Linked DNA regions of Anolis sagrei. The protein of the gene in region 4 purifies or fractionates together with the protein of the main gene of each other region. This does not show direct contact. Links are inferred from orthologs where the notes say so. Each region holds a gene or a part of one and is shown on either strand. Other genes may lie near its edges.

Region 1 (7,507 bases), about 98 Mb from region 4:
ATTTTTAACCTTTCTCCCAGAATCATGTTTTTCACTGTTGTTTCAATAAAACCTCAGGGTGTTGTTTTTTCCTCTTAAAGGACAGTGGAACACCACATAAATACCCAGAAAGCCCCACACAACGTGCACTCAGAATAACACAATTGCAAAAATTGTAATAATTGTACAGTGGCATAGGGGCATGTAGGCTTTTGACTTTCAGCTGGCCTCAAAGAGAGCAGAAACACCAGCAAAGGCTTAACAAAGCTTGGTGAACACTATGATTGTTAAGATCTTCTCAACAGACTGTCCAAAGTAAGGGCCCTTCCAGAGAGGCCCTAGATCCCAGGATCTGATCCCAGGTATTCTGTTTACTCCAGATTATCTGGCACTGCAGACTGATAGGTCCCTTCCACACAGGACTATATCCCAGAATATCAAGGCAGAAAATATCGCAATATCTGCTTTAAACTGAGTTATCTGAGTCCATGCTCAGATAATGTGGGATTTTCTGCCTTGATATTCTGGGATATAGGGCTGTGTGGAAGGGACCATATAATCCAGTTTAAAGCAGAAACCTGAGATCAGATCCTCGGATATAGGGTCTGTCTGGAAGGGCCCTAAGTTAGGCTGCACTAGAAAAATAATGCAGTTTGACACCATTTTAAGTGACAGAGAACAATGCTATTGAATCATGGGATTTGTAGTTTGGTGAGGCATAGAAGGTAATCTGGGCAAAGAAGGTTCAAGGTCTTGTTCAAATAACCCCTAGACATTGAGCCATGGCAGTTAAAGTGGCATCAAACTGCATTAATTCTACAGCATAAATGCACCCCAGGAGAAAGGATAGCTCTGTTTTATGCGTGTGAGGAAACACACAGATAAGGCCAAAGGGCGGAAGCGAGGCCTGGGAAAACCCCCAAGTGCATGTCACATTTCGTTTCCAAGGGCCCTTCCACATAGTCATATGACCCAGAATATCAAGGCAGAAAATCCCACAATATCTGTTTTGAACAGGGTTATATGGGTCCACACAATACTGCAGTTCAAATCACATAATGCTGGATTTTATTCACCTGTGTGGAAGGAGCCTCAGGGCCCTTCCACACAGCCATATAACCCAGAATATCAAGGCAGAAAACCCCACAATATCTGCTGTGAACTGGGTTATCTGAGCTCACACTGCCATATATCTCAGTTAAAAGCAGAAAATGTGGGATTTTATTCAGATGTGGAAGAGGCCTCAGACTGTCTGGCAACATATATCTGATTCCTACAGACAGAAGAAGCCTAAGGGCCCTTCCAGACAGGCCCTATATAGCAGGATCTGACCCCAGGTTTTCTGTTTATCCCAGATTATCTGGTCGTGGGGACTCATATAATCCAGTTTAAACCAGAAAACCTGGGATCAGATACTGGGATATGGGGCCTGCCTGGAAGGTCCCTAAAAAGGACACAGTGGACGGTTGGTGGGCTCTTGCATTTTAGGATCTGAGTTTCCTTCCAGTCCCTAGTTGTCCTCAGCGAGGCATTGGGAAGAAGCCCACTCCCCTCCCACAAGGCCTGGACTTTGAGCCCAGCCCCTCATTCCAGTTGAGGCCCTTCCACACAGCCCTTTATCCTGTAATATCAAAGCATAAAATCCAACAATATCTGCTTTGAACTGGGTTACCTGAACCCACACTGCCATATATTCCAATTCAAAGCAGATAATGGGGGATTTTCTGCCTTGATATTCTGGGATATAGGGCTGTGTGGAAGGGCCCTGAGCCGAAACTGTGGAACTGTAAAGCAGTGGCACAATGGGTTAAACCAGGGGTCCTCAAACTAAGACCCGAGGGCCAGATACGGCCTTCCAAGGTCAATTACCTGGCCCTCGCTCAGGGTCAACCTGAAACCTTGAAAGCACACAACAACAATCCTATCTCATCAGCCAAATGCAGGTCCACATTTCCTATTGAAATACTAATAAATTTATATTTGTTAAAACTGTTCTTCATTTAATTATTGTATTGTTTTTAAGCATTGTTGCACTACAAATAAGATATGTATAATGTGCATAGGAATTCATATTTTTTCAAATTATAATCTGGCCCTCCAACAGTTTGAGGGATTGTGACCTGGCCCTCTGTTTACATAGTTTGAAGACCCCTGGGTTAAACTAGCACTCTGTTTAAAAACTTTGCGGACCCCTGGGTCAAACCCTTGTGCCGCCAGGACTGAAGACCTACAGGTCGGAGGTTCGAATCCGGGGTGAGCGCGGATGAGCTCCCTCTGTCAGCTCCAGCGCCCCATGCGGGGACATGAGAGAAGCCTCCCACAAGGATGGTAAAACATCCAAACATCCAGGCGTCCCTTGGGCAACATCCTCGCAGACGGCCAATTCTCTCACACCAGAAGCAACTTGCAGTTTCTCAAGTCGCTCCTAACACGAAGAAAAACCCACTTTAAGCCGCCCGTTTCGCAGTTTGGTGAGGCGCCAACCAACAGCCAAGGCAAGGCTTTTGAGGCCTTGTCAAAGGGACACCTCGGAGGAATCCGCAGCACGGAGACGAAACGGCGGTTTAAAATGGCGCCAGGACGGTTTTAAACTCAGATAGAGGCCTACTCTGTAGTGTTTTTTAACCCCCCCCCCCGAAGGCCTTGCCTCTGAGGCTGAGAGAGTGTGACTTCTTCCCAAGCGGGGATCCGAGTCCTGGCGCCCACAAAAAAGGCGCACTCTGCACGTGCTCAGGGGCACTCTGGTGAAAGGCGGCAGCGGGGGGGGGGGGGTTCCATTTAACCCCTGGGTGGGTGGGTGGGTAGTTAAGCCAGCAACACGGAAATACTAACCTCTAACGAAGGTTAACTACACAGAAGTAGTAGGAGAAGGTAGGGACGGCCTTCCTTTTCCTGAGAGACATTCCCACCCGGAACCCTCTCTTCCGGCCTCCTCCTCGTCCTCCTCCCCTCCCAAGAAGCCCCTTCTCCTCCTCCTCTTCCTCCTCCTCCTGGGGCCCCTCCCCGCCACAGGTTGGCCCTGCCAATGCCGTCCCCTCCCCTCGCTTCGCTTCCCCTCCCCTCCCCTCCCCTCCCCTCCCTGGGGGGCTGGGCCAGAGCGCGAGGGAAGGCCGGCGGGAAGCACGCAGGCGGCGCCCCCCTCTCGGCCCGGCCCAAATAGTCCCGTCCTTACCGCTCATGTTGGCCGAGGCGAAGAAGTAGGCGAGCCCAAGCGGCGCCGGAGGGGTGTCCTGGGCGGGGGCAGCGGAGTTTGTGGGACGCGGCTAAGCCTAACCCCCACCGGTGACCGCCAAAGGCCTGCTGAGGGGAGGGAGCTGTGCCCACACAGCCCCCAAGGCCAAGCGCCACGCCTCCCGCCTCTCTCCTCCAATCACAGGCCTCTCTGGGCGTGGCTAGGGATGACTGGCGCCTCGCACAGCCAGTCGCGGAATTACAAAAAAAAAAGAAGGCGTGTGGAAAATGCGGGGAGGGGGGGTGGAAGGGGGAGCAGTTTACCAAAAGCTCTCCTTTCGGGAAACGCCTTTCGAAAGAAGCCCCACCCAAGTGTGGGAGGCGGGGCTTGGAGAGTGTTTGGGAACTGGGAAGTGATGTCGCAACCGACCAATCGGCGACCGCGTCGGGTAGCCCTGTCACGAACTCGTCCGACTCAACTGCCTGGCGTCCAATCAAGAGACGAGGCCTTTCCGTCATGGAGAGGAAGGCGGGGACTGACAGGACGATTAGCCAATCGGCATCACGAGCGTTTCAGAGCGAAGGATTGAGCAGCCAGAGAGCAGCAAGGAGAGAGGAGGCGGAAACAGTGCCTGCTCCAATGAGGATCGAGGATGGCCTTGAATTATCCAATGGGAATGGCTGCTCATTTGGGCCATTGGAACAGGGTGACGGGCGTTGGCGCCATTTTAGCTCGGGCCTACTCCACCCCCCTTCCTCCATTTGACGAAGGGATTATGCAACCAGAACTGACGTCGGTCGTTTTTCCTCCCTTGAGGCTCGTTGGAGAAATGCTCACTTCCGGTCATAATGTAAGAGGCGCCGCTGAGGTGGCTTCCTTCGTGTGCCACGACGCCCCCCCCCCTCCACACCATAATCAGTGGGTGCTCAAGACCTTCTATATGTGTGTGAATATATACACAGTGGTGCAACTGTTTGGTCTGCCCCTGACACGATAAATAAATAGTGTAGTGAAATTGACTCCCATGTATAGAAGGGCCAAATCAGCTTTTGCTTTTGAGAGTGACATCCTGGATTATTTGTAAGCAGTGGATGGTGGAGTCTGTGGATACGGAGACCTGTCTATACCTTGTCGAATTAGTGCAGTTTGACATCACGTAATAATGGCTACGTCTCGATCCTATGAAATCATGGGAATTGTAATTTGAGGCCTACTCAGCCCTCTTTGGCACAGAAGGCGAAAGACCTTGTAAAACTATAACTCCTATGGTTTCATAGCATTGAGCTGTGGAAGTGGATCAAACTACATTATTTCTAGAGTTAACGCCGGCAAATGGAGGGAGGTAGATATAATTAGCTTGTTTATAAAGCTATTGTCCTCCCAACCCTGCTATACGCCTGTGAAACGTGGACAGTCTACAGACGTCACATGCAACTCCTGGAATTATTCCATCAGCACGGCCTCCAAAAAATCCTGCAAATCTCTTAGGAAGACAAGCGGACAGCGTGCTGGAAGAAGCAAAGACCACCAGCACTGAAGCGATGGTCCTCTGCCATCAACTCAGCTGGACCGGCCACGTTGTCCGGATGCCCGACCACCGTCTCCCAAAGCCGTTGTTCTACTCCGAACTCAAGAACGGAAAACAGAATGTTGGAGGATAGGAAAAGAGATTTAAAGACGGGCTCAAATCCAACTTTAAAAACTCTGGCATAGACACTGAGAACTGGGAAGCCCTGGCTCTTGAGTGCTCCAGTTGGAGGTCAGCTGTGACCAGCAGTGCTGTAGAATTTGAAGAGGCACGAATGGAGGGGGAAAGAAAGAAACGTGCCAAGAGGAAGGCACGTCAAGCCAACCCCAACGGGGGCCACCTCCCACCTGGAAACCAATGCCCTCACTGTGGGAGAAGATGCAGATCAAGAATAGGGCTCCACAGTCACCTACAGACCCAGAACACCGAGCTTGGAAGACCATCATCCTCGGACTACGAGGGATCGGCTGAGTAAGTAAGATATAATTAGGCTTTCCTTCGTTTGTTTTCAGAGCATTCCATGGGATTTTAAAGACAAATACAAGATGAGAACATCGCTTTGACTAGGAGCAAAGAGATCCTAGTCAAATCTCTTTGACTAGGAGATTGCATGTGATCAAAGATCCCACTCAAGGTCACACTGAAGTCCAGAATGCCTTGAATTGGTCCACTCAGGCGTATTACAGTGAAGGGCCCAAAGACATTGACACCAAAATACAACATCGTCTTAGCTCTGCAAGTGCAGCACTTTCTCAAATGAAGCAGAGAGTGTTCGAGGACCAGGACATCCGTAGGCAGACCAAGGTGTTTGTTTATAAACCTATTGTCCTCCCAACCCTGTTATATGCCTGCAAAATGAGACGTCTACCAATATTATACTCGACTCCTGGAATGATTCCATCAGTGTTGCCTCCAAAAAAAATCCTGCAAATCTCTTCAGAAGACACGTGGACAAATGTCAGCATGCTGGAAGAAGCAAAGACCACCAGCATTGAAGCAATAATCTGCTGCCATCAACTCCACTGGACTGGCCATGTTGTCTGAACACACGATCACCATCTCCCAAAGTTACTATACTCCCAACTGAAGAACAGAAAATGGAAGGTTCGTGGACAGGAAAAGAGATTTAAAGATGGGCTTAAAGCAAACCTTAAAAACTGTGGCATAGACACTGAGAACTGGGAAGCCCTGGCCCTTCTCTAACTGGAGGTCAGCTGTGAGTAACAGTGCTATGAAATTCAAAGAGGCACGAATGGAGGGCAAAAGGGAGAAATGTGTCAAAAGGAAGGCATGTCAAAAGGAAGGCATGGGTCGTCTCTCTGGGATGGGCCTTGGGGGCACGGTTCTGTCGTGGCTCCAGTCCTTCCTGGAGGGACGAACTCAGATGGTGAAGCTGGGTGACGCCTGCTCGGACCCCTGGCCTTTGACCTGTGGGGTCCCGCAAGGCTCTATTCTGTCTCCCATGCTCTTCAACATCTACATGAAACCGCTGGGAGAGGTCATCCGGGGTTTTGGAGTTGGGTGCCATCTCTACGCAGATGACACACAACTCTACTACTCCTTTCCACCTAACTCCAAGGAGGCTTCCCAGGTGCTAGACAAGTGCCTGGCCGCTGTGTCGATCTGGATGAGGAAGAACAAGCTGAAGATCAATCCCGATAAGACAGAGGTCCTCTTGGTCGATCGTAAGCCGGATCGGGGTATAGGGTGGTTACCTGTGTTGGACGGGGTTACACTCCCCCTGAAACCTCAGGTCCGCAGTTTGGGTGTCCTCCTGGATTCTTCGCTTACACTTGAGGCTCAGGTGTCGGCGGTATCCGGGAGGGCTTTTGCGCAACTGAGACTCGTGCGCCAACTGCGACCATACCTCGTGAAGGCTGATCTGGCCGGGGTGGTCCATGCCTTGGTCACCTCTAGAATGGACTACTGCAATGCGCTCTACGTGGGGCTACCCTTGAAGACGGCTCGGAAACTGCAGCTGGTCCAACGTGCAGCAGCCAGAATGCTAACTGGAGCTCATTATCAAGAGAGGTCTACCCCTCTGTTCAAGGAGCTCCACTGGCTGCCTTTCATCTTCCGAGCCCAATTCAAGGTGCAGGTGCTCACCTATAAAGCCCTAAACGGTTTGGGACCACCCTACCTGCGTGACCGTATCTCCATCTACGAACCTACACGCTCGCTTCGATCATCTGGGGAGGCCCTGCTCGTGATCCCGCCTACGTCGCAAGCGCGTTTGGTGGGGACGCGGGACAGGGCCTTCTCCGTAGCGGCCCCCCGACTCTGGAACGCCCTCCCAAAAGATCTCCGACAGGCCCCTACACTAGCAGTTTTCAGAAGGAACCTGAAAACTTGGCTGTTCCGTTGTGCCTTCCCGGATTAGGAACCCCCATCCCAAGTCCTAATAGCACTTTAGCACAGTTAATATTGCTGCACACCGTACTTTAATCCCGACGCCCCTCCTACCATTTCAGCACTTTTAACCTTGTACCTCTCACCGGCCGAACCAGTTTTTAATATGTCCTGATGTATAGTTACTGTTGTATTGCTAATTTTGATTTGATTTGTTTTTGCTTTTTAATTTGCTTTGTTTATTGTTTGTTATGTTTTCTATTGTATTGTGTTTGTGGCTTCGGCCTGTGTAAGCCGCATCGAGTCCTTCGGGAGATGCTCGCGGGGTACAAATAAAGTTAATAATAATAATAATAATAATAATAATAATAACAACCCTAGTCAGAACCATATTCCACCTGGAAAATGATGTTCTCACTGTGGAAGAACATGCAGGTCAAGAATAAGCCTCTACAATGAGCTGTGGATCCACCTCCAAA
Region 2 (7,677 bases), on a different chromosome or scaffold from region 4:
TCAAGTGACTCTCAGCATAAGAGTGATACAAAGAGAGCCTTCCCCACACACAGATATCAAGTGACACTCTCTCAGCCTCAGAGGGACACAAAAGAATCAATTGGTTCAAGAAAAAACCATGCTCTAGGCTTGCCACAGAAGAGTAATGACCTGAAGGCACACACATATCAAGTGACACTCTCTCAGCCTAAGAGGGACAAAAAGGGATCCTTCCTCACACACACATATCAAATGACACTCTCTCAGCTTAAGAGGGACACAAAGGGAGCCTTCCCCAGGCATACATAGAATCATAGAATCCTAGAGTTGGAAGAGACCTCATGGGCCATCCAACCCCATTCTGCCAAGAGGCAGGAATATTGCATTCAAAGCACCCCTGGCAGATGGCCATCCAGCCTCTGTTTAAAATCCTCCAAAGAAGGAGCCTCCACCACACACTGCTGCACGGATCTCACAGTCAGGAAGTTCTTCCTCATGTTCAGATGGAATCTCCTTTCTTGTAGTTTGAAGCCATTCTTCCATTGCATCTTAGTCTCCTGGGAAGCAGAAAGGAAGCCTGCTCCCTCCTCCCTGTGACATGAAGTGGCACTCTCTCATCCTCAGAGGGACACAAAAGCAACCTTCGCCACACACATATATCAAGTGACACTCTCTCAGCCTCAAAGGGACAAAAAGGGAGCCTTCCTGACACACATATCAAGTGACACTCTCTCAGCCTCAGAGGGACACAATGGGAGCCTTCCTGACACACATATCAAGTGACACTCTCTCAGCCTAAGAGTGACACAAAAGACTCAATTGGTTCAAGAAAACCCTACTCTAGGCTTGCTAGAGAAATGACCTGAAGGCACACTCATATTAAGTGACACTCTCTCAGCCTCAGAGTGACACAATGGAAACTCCCCCCCCCCCACACACACACACATATCAAGTGACACTCTCTCATTCTAAGAGGGACACAAAAGTAGCCCTCCTCACACACACACACATCAAGTGACAGTCTCTCGGCCTCAGAGGAACACAAAGACAACCTTCCCCACACACACATATCAAGTGACACTCTCTCAGCTTAAGAGGGACACAAAGGGTGCCTTCCCCCTCACACACAAGTGACACTCTCTCAGCCTCAGTGGGACACCAAGGGAACCTTCATAACACATAGAAGTGGCACTCTCTCAGGCTTAGAGGGACACAAAAGGAGCCTTCCTCTCTCACACACACAGAATTGACACTCTCTCAGCCTAAGAGAGACACAAAAGATTCAACTGGTTCAAGAAAACCCTGCTCTAGGCTGGCCACAGAAGAGAAAGGATCTGAAGGCACACACACATCAATTGACAATCTCTCAACCTCAGAGGGACACTAAGGGGGCTTTCCTAACTCACACAAGTGACACTCTCTCAACCTCAGAGAGATACAAAGGAAGCCTTTCCCCACGTATAAGTGACACTCTCTCAGCTTCAGAGGGACAGAAAGGAAGCCTTCCCCCCTCTCTCTCTCACACACACATATATCAAGTGACACTCTCTCAGCCTCAGAGAGACACAAAGGAAGCCTTTCCCCACACATACAAGTGACACTCCCTCACCCTGAGGGAGACAGAAAAGAATATATAGTATGTTTAATAATAATACTATAGTATGTCTTATGTCTATATGACTTGTAAACCACTCTGAATCCCCTTCGCCAGGATATAAATGTCGAAAACAAACAAAGGAAGCCTTCCCCACATACACATACCAAGTGACACTCTCTCAGCCTCAAAGGGACACAAATGGAACCAAATTAATGAGTCAGAAATGACACTAAGGCACAGAATTAACGCTAGACCAGGCCTCAGGGGCTTTGGACTCCAATTCCCACAATTCCTCACTATAAATAGATGTATAGTGTCTAGCTCCTTCCTTGGAAGCTTTTAAACAGAGGCTGGATGGCCACCTGTCAGGGGTGCTTTGAATGCAATATTCCTGCTTTTTTGGCAGAATGGGGTTGGACTGGATGGCCCACGAGGTCTCTTCCAACTCTTTGAGTCTATGATTCTATGAATGTTTAAAAATAATATAGTATGCTTTATGTCCAATATGACTTGTAAGCCACTCTGAGTCCCCTTCGCCAGCATATAAATGTAAACAAACAAATAAAGGAAGCCTTCCCCTCCCACACACATATCAAGTGACACTCTCTCAGCCTCAGAGGGACACAAAGGGAACCAAATTAAGGAGTCAGAGATGTAAACAAAGAAATAAAGGAAGCCTACCCCACATACACATACCAAGTGACACTTTCTCAGCCTCAAAGGGACACAAAGGGAACCAAATTAATGACACTAAGGTACAGAAATAATGCTAGGCCACGCCTCAGGGGCTTTGGACTCCAACTCCCACCATTCCTCGCAGCCTCAGGCCCTTTCCTTTCCCCCCTCAGCCGCTTAAGCGTCTGAGGGGGAAAAGGAAGGGTCCTGAGGCTGTGAGGAATGTTGGGAGTTGGAGTCCAAAGGCCCAAGTTGGGGGACAAAGGAAGGCCTCACCTTCTTGCAGTGCTTCCCAAGCCAGAGTCGTGCGGCGTCGAGCTGGGCGGCGGTGTCGGAGCTCTCCCAGAACTTCCCCGCGGGGCCTCCGTCCTTGCGCCGCGACACGGCGGGAGGGCCCGAGGAGGAGGACGACGACGAGGAGGCTGAGGAGGCCGAGGAGAGGCCTGAGGCGGGCGGGCCCTCAGCGGGGCCTACTCCGCTCCCTCCTCCGCCTCCTCCTGCCGCTGAGCCTGGCTGGCCCGAGGGGGTGGGGTTGGTGTTGGCGGTGGCCGTGGTGTGGGCCGCCATGGTCCTTCCGGGCCTCCCGCGCGGCCTCCTGCGCCGCCGCCACCGCCGCCTCAGCCGGGGCCCTTCGCCTCCCTCTCTCCCGGCCCCGCGCATGCGCAGAGCCCGCGGGAAGGAGACGCCGCCGCGCCTGCCTCCCACGCCGCCGCCACCCTCTCTCTCTCTCTCTCTCGCTCAATCTCTCGCTCGCTCTCTCTCTCTCGCCCCGCGCGCACGCGCAGTCCGACCTCGCGCTCCCTCCCTCCCCTCAAGGCGCCGAGCGCTCGCGACGCGCCTCCGCCTTCCCCTCCCACGCCGGCTTTCCCCTACGCAACAGGGGCGCATGCGCAGACAGGGAGGAGAGTCTTTCTCTCCTGCGCATGCCTGCACAAGACCACCAAAGCTCTTTTCTTTGTAAGGCTTTCGCTTCGCTCGCGCATGCGTACACAACATGGACACTTTTTTTTCCTTCTGGGCCTCACTCACGCATGCGTATACAACATCAGCACAGCATTTTTTTTCTTTCTAGGCATCGCTCGCGCATGCGTACACAACATCGATACTTTTTCTTTCTTGCTAGGTCTCACTGACGCATGCGTACACAACATGGACACTTTTTTTCTTTCTGGGTCTCACTGGCGCATGCGTACACAAAATCAGCAGAGCATTTTTTTTCCTTTCTAGGCCTCGCTCACGCATGCGTACACAACATCGATACTTTTTTTCTTCTGGGCCTCACTGGCGCATGCGTATACAACATTATCAGCACATTTTTTTCTTTATGGGCCTCACTCGCGCATGCGTACACAACATCGATACTTTTTTTTCTTTCTGAGCCTCATTCGCGCATGCGTGCTCAACATCGCCAGACTTTATTGTGTTTTGGGTCTCAATCGCGCATGCGTACACAATATCTCCAGCACTTTTTTTTGTTCGCTGGGACTCGCTTGCGCATGCGTACTCAACACCACCAGATTATTTTTTGTTTTGGGCCTCACTCGCGCATGCGTACACGACATCGCCTGCACTTTTTTTCGTACTCTGAGCCTCGCTCGCGCATGCGTACTTAACATCGGGAGTTTTAGTGTGCTGGGCCTCGCTCGCGCATGCGTATCAACCCCTCCCCTCGCCTTTGTGTGGCTCTCTCTCCTCCATCCGCGCATGCGCGAGGGGAAGCCAAGCGGGGAAGGCCTGGTTGTGAGGGAGAGAGGGCCACCGAGAGGGTCGCTTTTGTGTCTTTCCCCGGAGAGGAGACGAGAGCAAGGCGGGCGCGGCGGAAGGAGTGGCCGCACAGGAAGTGACCCAGAGTGGACATTTCCGCTTGACCTGTCCAGGACACATTTGGCGGGAAAAAGGCAGGCCTGAAGGAGGAGGAGGAGGAGGACCAAAAAGGCAGAAGGAGGAGAAGACTCTCACAGGTGTCTCTATAGGGAGATTGAGATACATACATACATATATATACATACAAAATAAGAGACAACCTAGTCAAAGAACAATAGTGATATAATAGTGAACAATAGTGCATATAATAGTGATATAATAGTGAACAATAACGCAAATAGTAGTGATTTATTTATTTCGTGTCAGGGCAGCCAGTCCATTATATTACATTTCTAACAGAACAAAGCAAACAGACAAAATACAAAATTTGCGAGTTTGGTAGTTGATTTAATGTCTTTTGACCAGTCTCTGGCCCCTTGGAGTGCCTCTGGTGTTGCCTCAAGAAGGTCCTCCATTGTGCATGTGGCAGGGCTCAGGGTGCATTGCAGCAGGTGGTCAGTGGTTTGCTCCTCTCCACACTCGCATATCGAGGATTCCACTTTGTGGCCCCATTTCTGAAGGTTGGCTCTGCATCTTGTGGTGCCAGAGCGCAGTCTGTTCAGTGCCTTCCAGGTCGCCCAGTCCTCAGTGTGCCCAGGAAGGGGGAGTCTCTCATTTGGGATCAGCCATTGGTTGAGGTGCTGGGTTTGGGCCTGCCACTTTTGGACTTGGGAGGGATAGCCAATAGTCCAGAGGACAGGAGCAGAATTCAAAACGATCTTGACAGATTAGAGAGATGGGACAAAACTAACAAAATGAAGTTCAACAGTGACAAATGCAAGATACTCCACTTTGGCAGAAAAAATGAAATGCAAAGATACAGAATGGGTGATGCCTGGCTCGAGAGCAGTACGTGTGAAAAAGATCTTGGAATCCTCGTGGACAACAAGTTAAACATGAGCCAACAGTGTGATGTGGCGGCAAAAAAAGGCAATGGGATTTTGGCCTGCATCAAGAGGAGCATAGTGTCTAGATCTAGGGAAGTAATGCTCCCCATGCTCTATTCTGCTTTGGTTAGACCACACCTGGAATATTGTGTCCAATTCTGGGCACCACAATTCAAGAGAGATATTGACAAGCTGGAATGTGTCCAGAGGAGGGCGACTAAAATGATCAAGGGTCTGGAGAACAAGCCCTATGAGGAGCGGCTTAAGGAGCTGGGCATGTTTAGCCTGAAGAAGAGAAGGCTGAGAGGAGATATGATAGCCATGTATAAATATGTGAGAGGAAGCCACAGGGAGGAGGGAGCAAGCTTGTTTTCTGCTTCCATGGAGACTAGGACACAATGGAGCAAGGGCTTCAAACTACAAGAGAGGAGATTCCATCTGAACATGAGGAAGAACTTCCTGACTGTGAGAGCCGTTCAGCAGTGGAACTCTCTGCCCCGGAGTGTGGTGGAGGCTCCTTCTTTGGAAGCTTTTAAGCAGAGGCTGGATGGCCATCTGTCAGGTGTGATTTGAATGCAATATTCCTGCTTCTTGGCATAATGGGGTTGGACTGGATGGCCCATGAGGTCTCTTCCAACTCTTTGATTCTATGATTCTATGACTTTTGCTTGCTGGGGTGTTCCAGCGAGTGTCTCTGTAGATCTAAGAAAACTATGTCTAGATTTAAGTCGTCGACATGCTGGCTGATACCCAAACAAGGAATGAGCTGCCTTGGTCCTTTCACTATTGGCTGCTACTTCCCGGCAGATGTCAGGTGTTGCAAAACCACCTAAACAGTATAATTTCTCCAGTCGTGTGGGGCGCAGACACCACATGATAATGCGGCATGTCTCATTAAGAGCCACACCCACTGTTCTAGCGTGGTGAGATGTGTTCCACACTGGGCATGCGTACTCAGCAGCAGAGTAGCACAGCGCAAGGGCAGATGTCTTCACTGTGTCTGGTTGTGATCACCAGGTTGTGCCAGTCAGCTTTCGTATGATATTGTTTCACGAGATGCAGAGCCAGCCTTCGGAAATGGGGCCACAAAGTGGAATCCACGACATGCGAGTGTGGAGAAGAGCAAACCACTGACCACCTGCTGCAATGCAACCTGAGCCCTGCCACAGGCACAATGGAGGACCTTCTCACAGCAACACCAGAGGCACTCCAAGTGGCCAGATTATGGTCAAAGGACATTTAATAGAATACCAAGTTTACAAATTTTGTGTTTTGTTTTTAATGCAGTACAACTGTTGGGTTCGCTCCTGACACGATAAGAAAGAAATGCCCAATTGCATCCTTCTGAAAGGTTATTTGTGAAATAAGGGACACCCCTAAATGCTCATAAAACGCCTACCCAATATTAAACCAATAATTTTATATTGACATCCAATCATTATTGGATGTCTTTATATCATTTTCTTTCATATGTGTGTGTGTGTATCTGTCTCTCTGTGTGAGATGTTTTAACTGCTGTGGCCTTCCTCAAGTAGTGAGGAGTGGTGAGTGACAAATAAAATAATATCTGGCATGACGCAGCATGAGAAAGCCAGCCTAGCGCAATGGTTCTGAGCACTGGATTCCGGTTCCTGCTCAGCCTTGGGAATCTACTGGTTGCCTTTGGGTAAATCCCACTCTCTCAGACTTAAGGTGAGGAAGGAAATGACAAACCTCCTTGGGGTAAATCTTGCCAGAAAAACTAGGAGAGTGATGCCATAAGTGTGAATCAAAACTTTCCACATTCTGAGATGCATCCTTTTGCGACACCGTCGGTTTTACTAGCAAACTGGGGGTTAAACCAAACTCTTATAAGAGTTTCTTGCAATACACATGTATTATAATATATATGTGCATATGCTATAAAATATAAATTGTATATATAATGTATGTTTCATATCATCCAAATTTTGGACATTTCTCCTTTACACTTCTGTATTACCGGTGATTCCTGGAACTCCATAGCTGTTCCATGGGGTTTATCGCAAACATCAACAGATTTCCTTTTCTTAATTAGAAACATATCCACTTTAATGATAATTACTGCAGCTCAATCCACAAATTGTTCAAATTATAAAATTTATAACAGGACCTACACTTGAACAGTTCTGTAGGGATTAAACCTTTCTGGATGTTTTTGAACTCAGGCTAGATGGCTATCTTCTGGGAGAGCTTTCACTGTGCATTCCTACCTGGCTGAAGGTGGTTGGTCCAGATGTCTTCTGGGGATCCCTTCCAATGCTAGTGAAATACAGATTGCCTGGGAGTACACTGGGCTCTCATTCTTTCCCACCCTTCCCATCAGCCTAATTCAACTGGGCAGAGGAAGGAATCCCACTGGAGCATTGCAGCACACCCAAACACCTGGGAGTCTCCTGGTCTCACCTGGAATGTGCTCTGACTTAGAAGCACTGCTTGACTATCAAGCAAAAAGTGGGCGCTAGAAATAATATCATACGAAAGCTGACTGGCACAACCTGGGGATCATAACTAGACCCAGTGAAGACATCTGCCCTTGGGCTATGCTACTCTGCTGCTGAGTCTGCATGCCCAGTGTGGAACACATCTCACCATGCTAAAACAGTGGATGTGGCTCTTAATGAGACATGCCGCATTATCACGGGGTGTCTGCGCCCC
Region 3 (7,791 bases), on a different chromosome or scaffold from region 4:
TGAAATCTTCTGACTGTTCTCTTTCAACCTGTCAGTTTTCTCCAAAAGATGCCCTGACCTTTCATTTCTGTGACGGTCTCCGCACTGAGTCGCTTTACAGCTACTGCCAACAAACTGATTTCCTTTCCTATTGATGTAGAAATTTGCCTCATCTCTATGCCAACCTTGGCATTGAGTACTTAATTTAGAAATAACACTGGCGAAGAATCCATATGTCACATGGTAGTCCTGGCATGCCTGAGGTACCAGCACAGATAGCCACATAGGGTGCAAAAAGGAAACCCAGTGGGAAATTTACAGGGAGCAGAAAATCAGGGAGACCAAACTGGGTGGGATGGCACTGTGGATTGGCTCAAGGTCATCAGGTAGGACACTTACATTTTTTTTAAAAAAATGAATATTTTAGCTGTTATTAAGTGATTTAAATTATTTTAATTGGTTTGTATGTTTAATCCTACTTTAATATTTTTACACAATGGATTTAAATTGTATTTTTAATTTTGTGTCTTGATCAAGAGATAAAAGTGAGATAATAATAAACATAAACATAAATATAAATAAAATAAATCAGTATGGGGCAATAGGTCACACAAATGGGTGCAAAATGGGGAAACTGAACTCAAGTCTTAGATTTGGAATTAAAAGGGATAAATTGGGAAACTCTTTGAGTTTGAGAGGCATGGGAGGAAGAGGAATTTGGCAATGAGAGTTTGAGCAATGTTATTCTGTGAGGAGAGGAATGGGAGAGGTTGATAGCTGCAAGTCATAGGTAACAAGGGACACACGACTAATACTAAACATGGGCAGTGTTTTTCTCACTACCTCTGAGGATGCTTGCCATAGATGCAGGCGAAACGTCAGGAGAGAATGCCTCTAGACCATGGCCATATAGCCGGAAAAAACCTACAACAACCCAGTGATTCCAGTCACAAAAGCCTTCGACAATACAGTGTTTTTCTTGATACGTAACTACCACCTGATTCTGCCTAGATCAAATGTGTGTACTTTCAGGCTGTCTGTCAATTTATGGCGATCCTATAACTTTCATAGGGTTTTCTTCAAAGTGGTTTTGTCAGGTTCACCTTGGTGGTCTCCCATCCTAGACCTAACCAAAGCTGACTCTACTTAGCTTACATGATGAGAGATATTTCTGTCTGTGAGGGATAAAAGCTTCCAAGCCAAGCTTTACATTCAAGCTGATATAACTATGTATTGTTGAAGCCTTTCATGGCCGGAATCACTGCATCGTTGTAGGTTTTTCCAGACTGTATGGCCATGTTCTAGAAGCATTCTCTCCTGATGTTTCACCTGCATCTGTGGCAAGCATCCTCAGAGGTTGTGTAGATGGGACCACAGACTTGGTGCATGGAGTTAGTTTCACTTAATTCGGATTAGTTACCCCCAATATGTGGTAACCATTGGGAAGGATGCATGTGCACTGTACAATTAATGCTGTTTGAGACCTCACAACCTCAGAGGGTGCTTGCCACAGATGCAGGCGAAAGGTCAGGAGATAATGCTTCTAGAACATGGCCATACACCCCGAAAAACCTACAACATTGCAGTGATATAACTATTTTAATACCTATTATATCAGGCATGGGCAAACTTCAGCCCTTTGAGTGTTTTGAACTTCAATTCCCAGAATTCCTGGCCTTGGGCCCATTCCTTTTCCGCCTCAGCTGCTGAGGCCAGGAATTCTGGGAGTTGAAGTCCAAAGCACCTGGAGCGGCGTGAGCTTCCGTTGCCAGCCCTAGCTTCTGCCAACCTAGCAGTTCAAAAACATGCAAATGTGAGTAGATCAATAGGTACCGCTCCAGCGGCTTAGAAATGGAGATGAGCACCACATCCGAGCGCCAGACATGACTGGACTTACTGTCAGGCAGGCATGTAGCGGGGGGGGGGGGGGGGGGGGCTTGAGGGGCTTTAGCCCCCCCCCCCCCCAAAAAAACTCTCATGGTGGTTTGCGAAAAGGCCTTACTGGTGCATTATTTAAACTGTTTATTCATATCATGATCTGATCACCATAGTCAATATATCCCATATGCATGGGGGTATTGGGGTAACGATACAAAAGGTTTGCTAGGCTAGACCCTCTTTCACTCAGACTCAGCCCCCCCCACCCGAAACAAACTCAGCCCCCCTCCCCCCGAATCGAAATCCTGGCTACCGGCCTGGTCACAGGTTCCATTTCAGGGAGCAGCATGAGCTTCTGCTGTCAGCCCTAGCTTCTGCCAACCTAGCAGTTCGAAAACATGCAAATGTGAGTAGATCAATAGGTACCGCTCCGGCAGGAAGGTAACGGCGCTTCATTCAGTCATGCTGGCCAGATGACCTTGGATGTGTCTATGGACAACGCCGGCTCTTCGGCTTAGAAATGGAGATGAACACCACACCCCAGAGTCAGACATGACTGGACTTACTTTACCTAATCCGAATTAAGTGAAACTAACTCCATGCACCAAGTCTGTGGTCCCATGTTCACTACTAATTCAGATTGAGCTGTATTCTATGGTCAGTGCAGATGGGGCCTGAGGTCGCATACTGTTTGAGCTTCGTTAGGAGAGGGAAACAGGATGTAAATACAACAACATTAGTAACAACAACAACTTTGCGCTTCTAGAGAGAAACTTGTTGCCAGCCAGACACCAAGTGGGAAAAAACCCCACACTCTATTGTGCGTGTCATTCTCTGTGTTTTGATCCTCTCCTTTTAATCCAAGGAGTCAGGCGCGACCCCTCCCTTGCCCTCTCCTCCTGTCACTCAATCCTCCGCCGACACCCAAGCGGGCGCCCCCTGTCGGCTGCCACGGGGAAGCGCGCCGCTCGCCTCTCCCGCTCCGGGTCTTGGGGCTTATGATGATTCCGGGGCCGGTGCTTACCTTGCAGGCGGAATAGACGCCCAACTTCTCCAGCTTCTTGGCGCGGGGTGCGGAGCGGAGCTGCGCCTTCTTGCCCGCGATGCGAGCCGAGCCGGGTCCCCCGCTGCCTGTCCCGCCCGTGCTGCTCCCGCTGCTGCTCCCTCCTCCTCCCGCTGCTGTTCCCGCTGCAGGGCTGGTTTCGGCGGGCGCAGGAGGAGTCGCGGCGGCCGGAGCTCGAGCGGGCGTCCCCGCTGAAGCCGGCGAGCCTTGCTGGAGCGCCCCGGCCCCGCCATTGCTGTTCCCCGCCTCGCCCTCCCCCGGCCCGGCCGCGCCAGCCTCAGCCATGGCGGGGTTGCGGTGTGGGAGTCGCTGCCGCCGCCGCCGCCAGGCTCGCTGAGGGCCGGGCTCGGGCGCCCGCTGGAGCCGCGCCTCCGCCTGCTGCTCCCTCGGGAGGGAGGGAGGGGACAGGCCGCACACCGCGGGCGGGTCCTGTCAGGAAAGGAGGAGGAGGAGGAGGAGGCGCCCGCTAAGGAGGCAGCAGCGCGCACAGCCAGCAGGCCGACATGTTGTTGTTGTGAGCGCCTTGCGGGCGGCACTCACCACACTGAGGCGTCCCTCGCCGGGTGCCTCAATGACGCGCCCTCAGAGTGTCACTGAGGGATTGAGGGAGGGTCGCAGTGGCTTCCACATCCCTCCGGTGTTTTGGACTCCAACTCCCACCATTCCTAACAGCCTCAGGCCCTTTCCTTTTCCCCCGCTTAAGCGGCAGAGGGGGGAAAGGAAAGGGCCTGAGGCTGTTAGGAATGGTGGGAGTTGGAGTCCAAAACACCCGGAGGACCGAAGTTTGCCCATGCCTGCTCAAGAGGTTACTTTTCTGAGGGTGAAGCCTTCACTTCCATATCCCTCAAAGGACTACTTTTCTGAGGGTGAAACCTCCACTTCCGTATCCCTAAAAGGGCTACTTTTCTGAGGGCGAAGCTTCCACTTCCATATCTTCCAAAAGGCTACTTTTCCGAGGGCAAAACCTGCAATTCTGTATCCCCCAAAGGGTTACTTTTCTGAGGGTAAAACCTTCACTTCCATACCCTTCGAAGGACTACTTTTCTGAGGGCGAAACCTCAACTTCTGTATCCCTCAAAGGGGTACTTTTCTGAGGGGGAAACCTCCACTTCCATATCCCTCAAAAGAGGCCCCGGTGGTGCAGTGGGTTAAACCCCTGTGCAGGCAGGACTGAAGACCCACAGGTCGCAGGTTCGAATCCGGGGAGAGGCGGATCAGCTCCAGCTCCTCATGCGGGGACATGAGAGAAATCTCCCACAAGGATGATAAAAACATCAAATCATCCGGGTGTCCCCTGGACAACGTCCTTGCAGACGGCCAATTCTCATACCAGAAGCGACTTGTAGTTTCTCAGGTCGCTCCTGACAATATATATATATATATATATCCCTTAAAAGATTAGTTTTCTGAGGTGAAATTTCCACTTCGGTATCCTCAAAGGGCTACTTTTCTGAGAGCAAAGCCTCCACTTCTGTATCCCCCAAAGAGCATCTTTTCTGAGGGTGAAATCTCCATTTTCGTATCCCGCAAAGGGCTACTCTTCTGGGGTGAAACCTCTACTTCCGCATCCCTCAACATGCTACTTTTCTGAGGGCAAAACCTACACTTCCATATCCCTTAAAGGGCTTTTTTTCTGAGGGATTGTTCTGAGGGCTAAACATCTGCAAAGGTGCAGAGGGCAAGATGAGCTTCTCAGAAAATAGTGCTTTATTTCTGGGAGTTTTAGGGAAAAACACCTTCTTCAGTAGCTCTCAGAAAGGAACCTTGAGGGAAAATTACTGTTCTGAGGACAAAATGTCCCATTTAGTGGCCCTCACTAAGAGGCTCGAGGGAGAAAGATTACAGTGGCAGAGGGAGCAGCAGGAGCTTCTCAAAAAACAACTTTACATGCATTCTGAGGGCAAAAATTGCCACTTCAATAGCCCTCAAAGGGCTACTTTTCTGAGGGATTGTTCTGAGGGCAACATGTTCACTTCAGTAGACCTCATGAAGGAACTTGAGGGAAAATTATTGTTCTGAGGGGGAAAAATCCTAAACACCTGGAGGGCTGAAGTTTGCCGATACCTGATTAAGCACCATTACACTGATGGTTTAATGTAGTCCGAAGCTAGCTTCACACTGCAATGGACATACAACAAACTTCCACAAAAGCGTGTGAAAGAAAGCCCTTAATGTGCATCACTGTTCCGTGGTTTGTGGCCCCATCTGTACTGACCATTTAATGCAATTTCAAATCAGCATTGAAAAAAGTGGTTTCAGTGTACAAATAATTACATAGGATATCCTGAAACCAATTGGAGACCTGGATAGTGATGATACAGGCCCCATCTACACTGACCATTGAATTCAGTTCAAAGCAAGTTTCAAACTGTGGTGGCCAATCAATAAATTCCCCAGAAAAGTGAGTGAAAGAAATCCTTTAATATTTCTAGGTAGTTTATTCGAATGGCACAAACTTCCATTTCAGTATCCCTCGGGGGTGGGGGTGGGGATTATTCAATTGTATGTTTTCCTATCTGTATATTGTAATCCACTGTGAGTCCCTCCGGGGAGATAGAGCAGAATATAAATAAAGTATTATTATTATTATTATTATTATTATTATTATTACTATTATAATTCTTGTTTTCAAATATGTATGTGCTGGAGTTTGGTTCCAGGGTTACATTTTATTTCACACACCTGTATTTGTCCACCAAAAATCTGTGCTTTTCATTTCCACTGTTTGCTCCCCACTCCCCCCCCCTTTTTTTTTTACAAGTCATGGAAGGTTGACTCCCTGGATAAAGAATGTGTGGATACAGAGGGCCGATTGTAAATATAACACTCTTGAGTAGGAATTAGTTCACAATGAACATAAGTCATAAAAGCACTCTCTAGTTCCTGCGGTTGTGCTACTTATTTGCTTGTTTAAAAATCTATACACTGTTCTTCAGCAATGCTTCTAAGGAGATAACTAAATCGAGATTAATTGTGATAAATCCCAGCATTTAAAAACAGGAATAACTTTGCCTGGCACGAAAAGTACTGCCACCATGCACACATCTCCAGGGAAGAAATTCCATGAATGGATAGGAGGAAAGGAAATCACAAAGTGAAAAAGCCCCCTCTCTGGTTTCCACCTTTCTTATCTCAAATGCCAGGAAGCCCTTCAAAGACAGCCTCAACACATGATTGGTACATGAGCAAAATCTTTCTTCAGGTACCGAGGCTCAAAACTGAATAAGTTTTAAAAGAAAACACCAGGACTTTGAACTGTGCTTGAAAACAGACTAAGCTGCCAGCGAAGTCCCTTAAGCTCTACCAAGGTAATATGTTCAAAAAGGCAAATAATGGTTCATAAGGTAGCAGCTGTATTTTGAAATCTCTGTAAATTGTTGCTGTTACATCTGTCATAAATTAATCCAAGCAAGTTTAATCAGTAAGAAACAGAAGGTGGAATGGACATTTAATTATTCTTATGTGGCTCTATAAGCTAATGCCATAAAGGGGAAATGTGCAAGTACACTCGACCCTCCACATCCATGGGTTCGCTACCCACAGATTCAACCAATGGCTTGAAAATATTTTGGAGAAAGAAGTCAAAAAACCAAACTTTAATTGGCTGTACACCAATTGGCTCTACACCTTATGTTTAGTCGTACCTTGCAGTAGCCTTGGACCATTTCACAGATCCTTAGGCTCTGGCATTTTTGAGGTGAAATAAAACCACACTGGATACCATTGTATGATGTAACATGGATATTGACTATAGTGTATAAGGTCTCTCTTCCAAGCCAGATGCGTTTTAAGGTCCTTGTCAGCACCATGGCAACATATTAACAGATGTCCAGGGTAGAGGGTTAATTTGTATTGCTCTCTCTCTCTCTCTCTCTTTTGCATTGGCTTGCCAGTTTGAGAATAAGTAAAGATATGAGAGCAGACTGGTCCTGCTCTCTATATCCCAGGACCTGATCCCAGATTATCTGATTTGAACTAGATTGTATGAGTCTACAGTGCCAGAAAATCAGGGATAAGAAAATAATCTGAGATCAGACCCTGGGATGTAGAGCAGTGTAGGTCCAGTCTGGGTAAGGAATTTTCCTCTGTTGCCAGTTCGCTTGAATAGTTCCGATTACAAATGAGATGAGGAGATGGATAATGGTTATGTACTTTGATTACTTTTTTGTGTTTGCACTATACCATATGATTCCCTTATCTGCGGAGGATAGTTTCCAAAATGTACTATACTGTGGAAAATGAAAATCGTGGATAATATTGAACCTGATTGAAATAATAATAGTATACTTTATTTATATTCTGCTCTATTTCCCCAAGGGGACTCAGGGTGGATTACAGAACACATATATGGCAAACATTCAATGCTGTTGTACAATTAACAAGAACGGACTATATAAACAGATGTAAAGGCTTTCCCATCTTTTTCCATTTCCGACATCTGGCTGTGCTCGACTCCAGCCGGGTGTATGTGTGTGTGTGCTGTCACTCAATTTTTCATGCCAAGGAGCCTTGTCATCCATAGACGTCCTCCCAATCAAATTGTCAGCATGTCCTTACGGGTGACTTTTATTACCTCCCCACTTTTAAAGTGGCACCTATTTATCTACTCATATTGCTGTTTTTGATCTGCTAGTTGAGCAGAAGCTGGGGCTGAGGGTGGGAGCTCACTCCAACCAGGGCTCGAATTACCAACCTAGGATTTTCTGCAGCTTAGCAGTTTAACCTGCAGTACAAAGCCTGGCCCCATAAGGAATCTCTTCCACCAAAGTTACTATGCAGCTGCCATAGAATCATTGTGAAGTTAAATGTATTGTCAAAGGCTTTCATGGCCAGAATCACTGGGTTGTTGTGAGTTTTCTGAGCTGTATGGC
Region 4 (7,971 bases):
CCCTCAGGTTTTTTTTGTTTTTAAGCCACTCATTATGCACAGAGCATTTATATATATAGATTAGTTACCTACCTACCTATCTATATCTTTCTATCTATCCAGTTACCTATCTATCTATCTATATCTTTCTATCTATCCAGCTACCTTTCTATCTAGCTAGCCACTTTTCTACCTAGCTAGCTAGCTACCATTTTATCTAGCCACCTATCTTTCTATCTATCCAGTTATGTTTTATTTTAATGTTATGTTGTTTATTTTATTGCAATTTGTATTGTTATATTGTGATTCTTGTTCAGGCTCGGCCCCATGTAAGCCGCTCTGAGTCCCCATCGGGGAGATGGTGGCGGGGTATAAAGTTTATTATTATTTTTAGTTTCCCATCTATCTATATCTTTCTATCTATCCAGCTACTTTTCTATCTAGCTAGCTAGCTAACTTTCTATCTAGCCACCTATCTTTCTGTCTATCCAGTTATGTTTTATTTAATGTTATGTTGTTTATTTTATTGCAATTTGTATTGTTATATTGTGATTCTTGTTCAGGCTCGGCCCCATGTAAGCCGCTCTGAGTCCCCATCGGATAGATGGTGGCGGGGTATAAAGTTTATTATTATTATTAGTTTCCCATCTATCTATATCTTTCTATCTATCCAGCTACTTTTCTATCTAGCTAGCTAGCTAACTTTCTATCTAGCCACCTATCTTTCTGTCTATCCTGTTATGTTTTATTTTAATGTTATGTTGTTTATTTTATTGCAATTTGTATTGTTATATTGTGATTCTTGTTCAGGCTCGGCCCCATGTAAGCCGCTCTGAGTCCCCATCGGGGAGATGGTGGCGGGGTATAAAGTTTATTATTATTTTTAGTTTCCCATCTATCTATATCTTTCTATCTATCCAGCTACTTTTCTATCTAGCTAGCTAGCTAACTTTCTATCTAGCCACCTATCTTTCTGTCTATCCAGTTATGTTTTATTTTAATGTTATGTTGTTTATTTTATTGCAATTTGTATTGTTATATTGTGATTCTTGTTCAGGCTCGGCCCCATGTAAGCCGCTCTGAGTCCCCATCGGATAGATGGTGGCGGGGTATAAAGTTTATTATTATTATTAGTTTCCCATCTATCTATATCTTTCTATCTATCCAGCTACTTTTCTATCTAGCTAGCTAGCTAACTTTCTATCTAGCCACCTATCTTTCTGTCTATCCTGTTATGTTTTATTTTAATGTTATGTTGTTTATTTTATTGCAATTTGTATTGTTATATTGTGATTCTTGTTCAGGCTCGGCCCCATGTAAGCCGCTCCGAGTCCCCATCGGGGAGATGGTGGCGGGGTATAAAGTTTATTATTATTATTAGTTTCCCATCTATCTATATCTTTCTATCTATCCAGCTACTTTTCTATCTAGCTAGCTAGCTACCTTTCTATCTAGCCACCTATCTTTCTATCTATCCAGTTATGTTTTATTTTAATGTTATGTTGTTTATTTTATTGCAATTTGTATTGTTATATTGTAATTCTTGTTCGGGCTCAGTCCCATGTAAGCCGCTCCGAGTCCCCATCGGGGAGATGGTGGTGGGGTATAAAGTTTATTATTATTATTATTATTATTATTACTAGTTTTCCATCTATCTATCTATTTCTTTCTATCTATCCAGCTACCTTTCTATCTAGCTAGCCAGCTACTGTTCTATCTATCTAGCTAGCTACCTTTCTATCTAGCCACCGATCTATCTATCCAGTTATGTTTTATTTTAATGTTATGTTGTTTATTTTATTGCAATTTGTATTGTTATATTGTAATTCTTGTTCGGGCTCGGTCCCATGTAAGCCGCTCCGAGTCCGCATCGTGGAGATGGTGGCGGGGTAGAAATAAAGTTTATTATTATAAGTTACCTCTCTATCTATCTATATCTTTCTATCTATCCAGCTACCTTTCTATCTATCTAGCCAGCTACTTTATTTTAATCTTATGTTGTTTATTTTATTGCAATTTGTATTGTTATATTGTAATTCTTGTTCGGGCTCGGCCCCATGTAAGCCGCTCCGAGTCCCCGTCAGGGAGATGGTGGCGGGGTATAAATAAAGTTTATTATTATTATTTATTTATTTCGGTTACTTCTATCCCGCCCTTCTCACTACGGAGGGGACTCAGGGTGGCTTACAAAGACACAATTCGATGCCGGCATCACATAACAGTAGTATAAAACAATATGGCAGCAATTAACAGTTAACCAACAGTTCCTGCATTATAACAATAAAACCAATAAAACCAATACAAACCAATTACTCCTCATTAACGGTCAGCGTTTGCCATCTCATAGTCCAATTTCCAATTTCATTTTGTCAGTCCTGTCAGTCCTAGTCATCTGATTGTCCTTATCTAGTTGTCAGATTGCCCAAAGGCCTGGTCCCACAACCATGTCCTTAATTTCCTCCTGAAGGAGAGGAGGGATGTTGATGCCCTAATTTCCCCTGGGAGTGAGTTCCACAGATGAGGGGCCACCACAGAGAAGGCCCTGTTCCTCGTCCCCACCAACCTCACTTGTGATAGTGGTCCAACTTTGGCCCTTCCTCCAGTTAGACGGCGTGGAGACAGACAGAAAGGTAGCTAAAGGGCCTGGAGGGAGGGCCCAAGTAGGCCCATGCCTGATCTCGACAGATATTCTTTTGGGAGGGGTTCTCACTTAAATCAGAATCCATAACTTTGATTGAATCATGCCTATAACTGGCTGTGCAATAACAAAGGCATGCCTTTAGCCTTCAGGTAAGCACTGAGGCTACGGTTGCATGTAAATATGTACCTATTTTGGGGTGTATATGAGGCTGAAGCGCGTTCGGGCCAAGAGAGGCCCTTGGCGGCTCCCCTCCCCCTCTCGCACCACAACAAAGCCCAGGGAGCCTCCCCCTCGCTCGCTCCAGGCCTGAGGCCTACCCCACCCCCGCCAGGCCTCCCAGATGAAGCCCCCTCCCCGCCACCCGCTTCCCCTCGACGCCGCGGCCTCCCTTCTCACCCTCAGCCGCCTCAGAGCCCTCTCTCCTCGCCCCGAGCTGCGCCTCTGCCGCCCTCGCTCTCTTTCTCGCCGTCTTCGCCCCTCACAGCTCCTCCGCCGCCGCCATTGGCCGACCGAAAATATGCCCCGCCCCCTGCTTCTCTTTCGAAGCCCGTGATTGGTCGACGCTTTCGCCCGTCACGATGGAAGCTGCCGCCAGGGGTGGAGTCAACGGCATTCCGTGTCCCCGCCCTCGTCTCGAGCTTCTCCATCGAAGGAGGTGATTGGTCCCTGCGTCCGTCCGTCACGCGGATTGGGTCGGAAGAAGATAAAAGGGGCGGGGCCGGATTATCCCCGCCCTTCCCTCCCCTCCGTCCCCTCTTTCATCTTTTTCTTCGCTGCCATTGGTTGGAAGCCACCAATGAGCGGACGCGTCACGAAGAAGAGCAAAATGTGTTCAGCCCTCGGATTGGTTAACCAGAGAAGCGTCGGATTGGACGCGGCGTGTTTTAGGCCCGCCTCCTTAACCTAGTCTCTCCTTTTTGAGGGAGGAGCAGGGAAGAAGCAAAAATCTTGTTAACTGTGTCCCTCCGCCACTCGGAGTGTATCCTTCCGCCCAGCAATTGTCTCTCGCAAGTGAGAAGAAATAGTCCCAAAGAGAGGGAGGAAGGAAGGAAAGAAAAGAAGGGAAAGGAAGGAAAAAGGGGGGAACGGATGGAGAGAAAGAAGAACGGAAAGGAGGGAAGGGAAAAGGAAGAAAAAGGATGGAAATAAAGATGAAGGGAAAGGAAGAAAGGAAGAAAAAGGATGGAAAGAAAGAAGGGCAAGGAAGGGTGGGAAAAGGAAGAAAAAGGAGGGAAGGATGGAAAGAAAGGAAGAAAGGGGATGGAAAGACAGGGAAAGACAGAAAGGAAAGGAAGGAAAAGGAGGGAAGAAGGGAAAGGAAGATTGGGAAAAGGAGGGAAGGATGGAAAGAAAGGAAGAAAGGGGATAGAAAGTCAGAAGGGAAAGGAAGGAAAAGGAGGAAAGAAGGGAAAGGAAGGATGGGAAAAGGAAGAAAAAGGGGGGAAAGATGGAAAGAAAGGAGAAAGGAAGAAAGGGGATGGAAAGAAAGAAGAAGGGAAAGGAAGGAAAAGGAGGGAAGGGTGGAAAGAAAGAAGAAGGGAAAGGAGAAAGGAAGAAAAAGGATGGAAAGAAAGAAGAAGGGCAAGGAGGGAAGGGAAAAGGAAGAAAAAGGAGGGAAGGATGGAAAGAAAGGGGAGGGAAAGTCAGAAGGGAAAGGAGGAAAGAAGGGAAAGGAAGGATGGGAAAAGAAAAAAACGGGGAAGGGTGGAAAGAAAGGAAGAAGGGATGGAAAGAAAGAAGGAGGGAAAAGGGGGGAAAGAAAGAAGAATGGAAAGGAGGGAAGGGAAAAGGAAGCAAAGGATGGAAAGAAAGAAGAAGGGAAAGGAGAAAGGAAGAAAAAGGAGGGAAGGAGGGAAAGAAAGGAAGAAAGGGGATGGAAAGAAAGAAGAAGGGAAAGGAGGGAAGGATATAAAGAAAGAAAAAGGGAAAGGAAGGATGGGAAAAGGAAGAAAAAGGAGGGAAGGATAGAAAGAAAGAAGATGGGAATGGAAGGAATGGAAAGAAAGAAAAGTAAGGGAAGAATGGAAAGAAAGAAGAAGGGAAAGGAAGGATGGAAAAGGAAGTAAAAGGAGGGAAGGATGGAAAGAAAGAAGAAGGGAAAGGAAGAAAAGAGATGAATGGAAAGAAAGAGGAAGGGAAAAGGAAGAAAAAGGGAAGGAGAGTAATGAGAGTAACGAAATTTCATTACTTTTTACTATATTAATTGTGTAAGTGGGGAAACTTCAAGGGCTACTTTCTCCCTCATTTTTACAGCTATTGGGGTGAAACTTGCTACAGTGGTAGAATACATTTACCACTGTTAGCCCATCAAGCTTCAGAATGTTTCACTTATTCATAGATTTTGCTATCTCCTTGAATTTTCTGTGCAATGACACAAGACTGACCCCCCCCCCCCCCCAAGTTAAAAAATATTCATACATCTACTGATTTGGGGGATTTAAAAAAAAACTTTTGACAAAAACATTTTTTTTAAAAAGTCACAACAGCTATGTTATTGAATGTCTCTCATATTAACCAATAATACTTCCATTTAAGGATTTCTTCCCAGCCCACCACAGAGGTTTACTTACTAGAAGTATCAATAAGTCCTCCTCTTTGAAGATTCAACAATTTATTGGAACTCTGGCTGGCTGCTGCTACGGGGGGGGGGGGGGGGGGGGGGGGCATGTGTTCTATCATCGTAGCAAGTTTTATGCACATAGCCCTAACAATGAGGGAGAAAGGAGCCCCTGAAGTTTCCCCATTAGCACAATTACTTAACGAAAAGTAGTTAACTCGTTATAGTTAAGATGCAGACTCCGTCAAATTTCAGAAACACTTTAGAAACAATTTCCCCCACCCTCTAATTTTTGTAGTGAATACTGAAACTTTTTTCATTGATTGCACAGGCCTAATAAACACTCATAGGTTCCTTCATAGCTTAGTCGCCCTCCTCTGGAATGTGTCCAGAAGACGGCGACTAAAATGATCAAGGGTCTGGAGAACAAGTCCTATGAGGAGCGGCTTAAGGAGCTGGGCATGTTTAGCCTGAAGAAGAGAAGGCTGAGAGGAGATATGATAGCCATGTATAAATATGTGAGAAGAAGCCACAGAGAGGAGGGAGCAAGCTTGTTTTCTGCTGCCCTGGAGACTAGGACGCAATGGAACAATGGCTTCAGACTACAAGAGAGGAGATTCCATCTGAACATGAAGAACTTCCTGACTGTGAGAGCTGTTCAACGGTGGAACTCTCTGCCCCGGAGTGTGGTGGAGGCTCCTTCTTTGGAAGCTTTTAAACAGAGGCTGGATGGCCATCTGTCAGGGGTAATTTGAATGCAATATTCCTGCTTCTTGGCAGGGGGTTGGACTGGATGGCCCATGAGCTCTCTTCCAACTCTTTGATTCTATGATTCAGTGTGACTGGGGAGCTATGGAAATCTTCCATTTAAATCAGCCAGGCAAAGGTTGCATCTACACTGCCATATACTGCAGTATACATAAAGGTAAAGGTATCACCTGACATTTGGTCTAGTCGTGTCAGACACTGGGGGGTGGTGCTCATCTCCATTTCTAAGTCGAAAAGCCAGCGTTGTCCGTAGATGCCTCCAAGGCCATCTGGCCAGCATGACTACATGGAGTGCCGTTACCTTCCTGCAGAAGGTGTCCCTATTGATCTACTCACATTTACATGTTTTTGAATGTATAGGTTGGCAAAACTGGACCTAACAGTGGAGCTCACTTCACTCCCCGGATTCGAACTGCCAACCTTTCAGTCAGCAAGTTCAGCAGCTCAATGATTTAACCTGCTGCACCACCATTATATGTAGACTCATGTAGTTCAATCCAGTGAGGTTAAACTGCATCATATCAGTCTACATACAGTTGGAAACTGCATTGTATGGCAGTGTAGATGGAGCCTCGAAGTGGCAAAGTCATGTTGGATTGTGCTGTTTTATAGGATGATGAGTGAAGGATGATCCACATTAAATTCCACTTCCCACTGACAGTCCTACCCATGCAGAGCTGCCAACGGCCTTGGATATATCACTCCTCGGCCAAGGCTATGCAAGAACGCATGTGCTCATCTGGCAACCTATCTGCCAAATGACAATTTGGCATCACATGCAATCATTAGCAAAATTGTCGAAGCCAAACACTAATCACCGACACAGAAATCTGACCATCTTTTATTAAAAGTGCTACCAATCAGTGTGCCCTTTGTGTGAGTTTGTGTTTGGCTTTGTTCTTATTATCTCTCTGATTTTTATATGAAACTAGCTTAGGTACCCAGCAATGCTCTGGTTAGAGATTTTGTAAGGAGAAACATTAGAAGTAGTAATTGTTTAGTTCTGAATTTTGCGAATGATCCCATTGGAAGATGCATAAGAATGTGGATAAATTACAACTGCCATCATCCTTTGCCATTGCCCCCAAACCTCATCAGTATTTAAAGTTGGTCATGATGGGTACCTGTGTTGTCGAACACAGCACCACAACCCCAGTGATTTATAGCTCTCCAAGGGCACCAGAATGAATAATAATAATTCAACTTTATTTATAGACCACCCTCTCTCCCCAAAATAATAGCGTTAAACTTATAACAAAAGAGGCTAATTGGCATTTAAAATAAGACCAGAATGCAATACTCAAATAAAACGTAATTAAACTATTGCATATTATGCTTGTACATTTTGGCAGCAGCCGTACTTGCCTTCTTTCTGGCCAGATTACTAATAAAAGTCTGTGGCTGTCTTCACCTAGTGAGTGTGTTGTCTGTTCTTCAATCGGGAACAGTCACTGGGCACGGACCTTCCATATATGCGGTCCTAGTCTAAATTCGACCATATGTGTGCCATGTTTGGTCCAGATCCATCATCATTTAGGGTCACAAGGCTTTTTGGATATGAGAGGACTGCAGCTTCCACCATGCTGGGTCAATCACCCCCAACCCCCTTCAGTACTTTCTGTTTGGCCATTGGGTGGGAAGGTCTGTTTGCCAGGTTAAGTACCCTATATACTCAAGTATAAACCGAATTTTTTAGCTCATTTTTAGGCTGAATCCTCCCCCCCCCCCCCTTGGCTTATACTCGAGTCAAAGTTATGTATTATTTTACCCTGTTATTACTATTATTTTGTTATGTTTATTATTTTACTCTGTTATTACATTTACATTATTTTACTCTATCATTTTTAACACATTTCTTATTTAAATTGATTATTATTATTACATTTACATTATTTTACTTCATTATTATTATTATTATTATTACATTTACATTATTTTACTCTATTATTTTTATTACATTTATTATTTTATTCTATTATTATTGGAAGGATACTTAAGCACATTTACATTGAAGAAGGTTACAATC

What was found.
Region 1: the proteins of SMAD2 (region 4) and SP1 purify together in Homo sapiens (affinity purification with western blotting; 3 studies listed by BioGRID). This does not show direct contact. The link is inferred for Anolis sagrei from reciprocal best matches to the Homo sapiens genes SMAD2 and SP1.
Region 2: the proteins of SMAD2 (region 4) and SMARCC1 purify together in Homo sapiens (affinity purification with mass spectrometry; 3 studies listed by BioGRID, with this or other methods). This does not show direct contact. The link is inferred for Anolis sagrei from reciprocal best matches to the Homo sapiens genes SMAD2 and SMARCC1.
Region 3: the proteins of SMAD2 (region 4) and KAT2B purify together in Homo sapiens (affinity purification with western blotting, with the first as the bait; 3 studies listed by BioGRID). This does not show direct contact. The link is inferred for Anolis sagrei from reciprocal best matches to the Homo sapiens genes SMAD2 and KAT2B.

Annotation. Positions count from the first base shown.
Region 1 is NC_090022.1:190,697,771-190,705,277, forward strand, and holds the start of SP1 (transcription factor Sp1), read right to left. Parts: upstream 3,327-7,507; 5' UTR 3,159-3,326; coding exon 3,152-3,158; intron 2,917-3,151; exon of another isoform or gene 2,812-2,916; intron 1-2,811. UniProt on the Homo sapiens protein: Transcription factor that can activate or repress transcription in response to physiological and pathological stimuli.
Region 2 is NC_090026.1:130,811,785-130,819,461, reverse strand, and holds the start of SMARCC1 (SWI/SNF complex subunit SMARCC1), read right to left. Parts: upstream 3,084-7,677; 5' UTR 2,912-3,083; coding exon 2,528-2,911; intron 1-2,527. UniProt on the Homo sapiens protein: Involved in transcriptional activation and repression of select genes by chromatin remodeling (alteration of DNA-nucleosome topology).
Region 3 is NC_090026.1:87,238,163-87,245,953, forward strand, and holds the start of KAT2B (histone acetyltransferase KAT2B), read right to left. Parts: upstream 3,453-7,791; 5' UTR 3,206-3,452; coding exon 2,882-3,205; intron 1-2,881. UniProt on the Homo sapiens protein: Functions as a histone acetyltransferase (HAT) to promote transcriptional activation. Has significant histone acetyltransferase activity with core histones (H3 and H4), and also with nucleosome core particles.
Region 4 is NC_090022.1:289,003,612-289,011,582, reverse strand, and holds the start of SMAD2 (mothers against decapentaplegic homolog 2), read right to left. Parts: upstream 3,141-7,971; 5' UTR 3,017-3,140; intron 1-3,016. UniProt on the Homo sapiens protein: Receptor-regulated SMAD (R-SMAD) that is an intracellular signal transducer and transcriptional modulator activated by TGF-beta (transforming growth factor) and activin type 1 receptor kinases.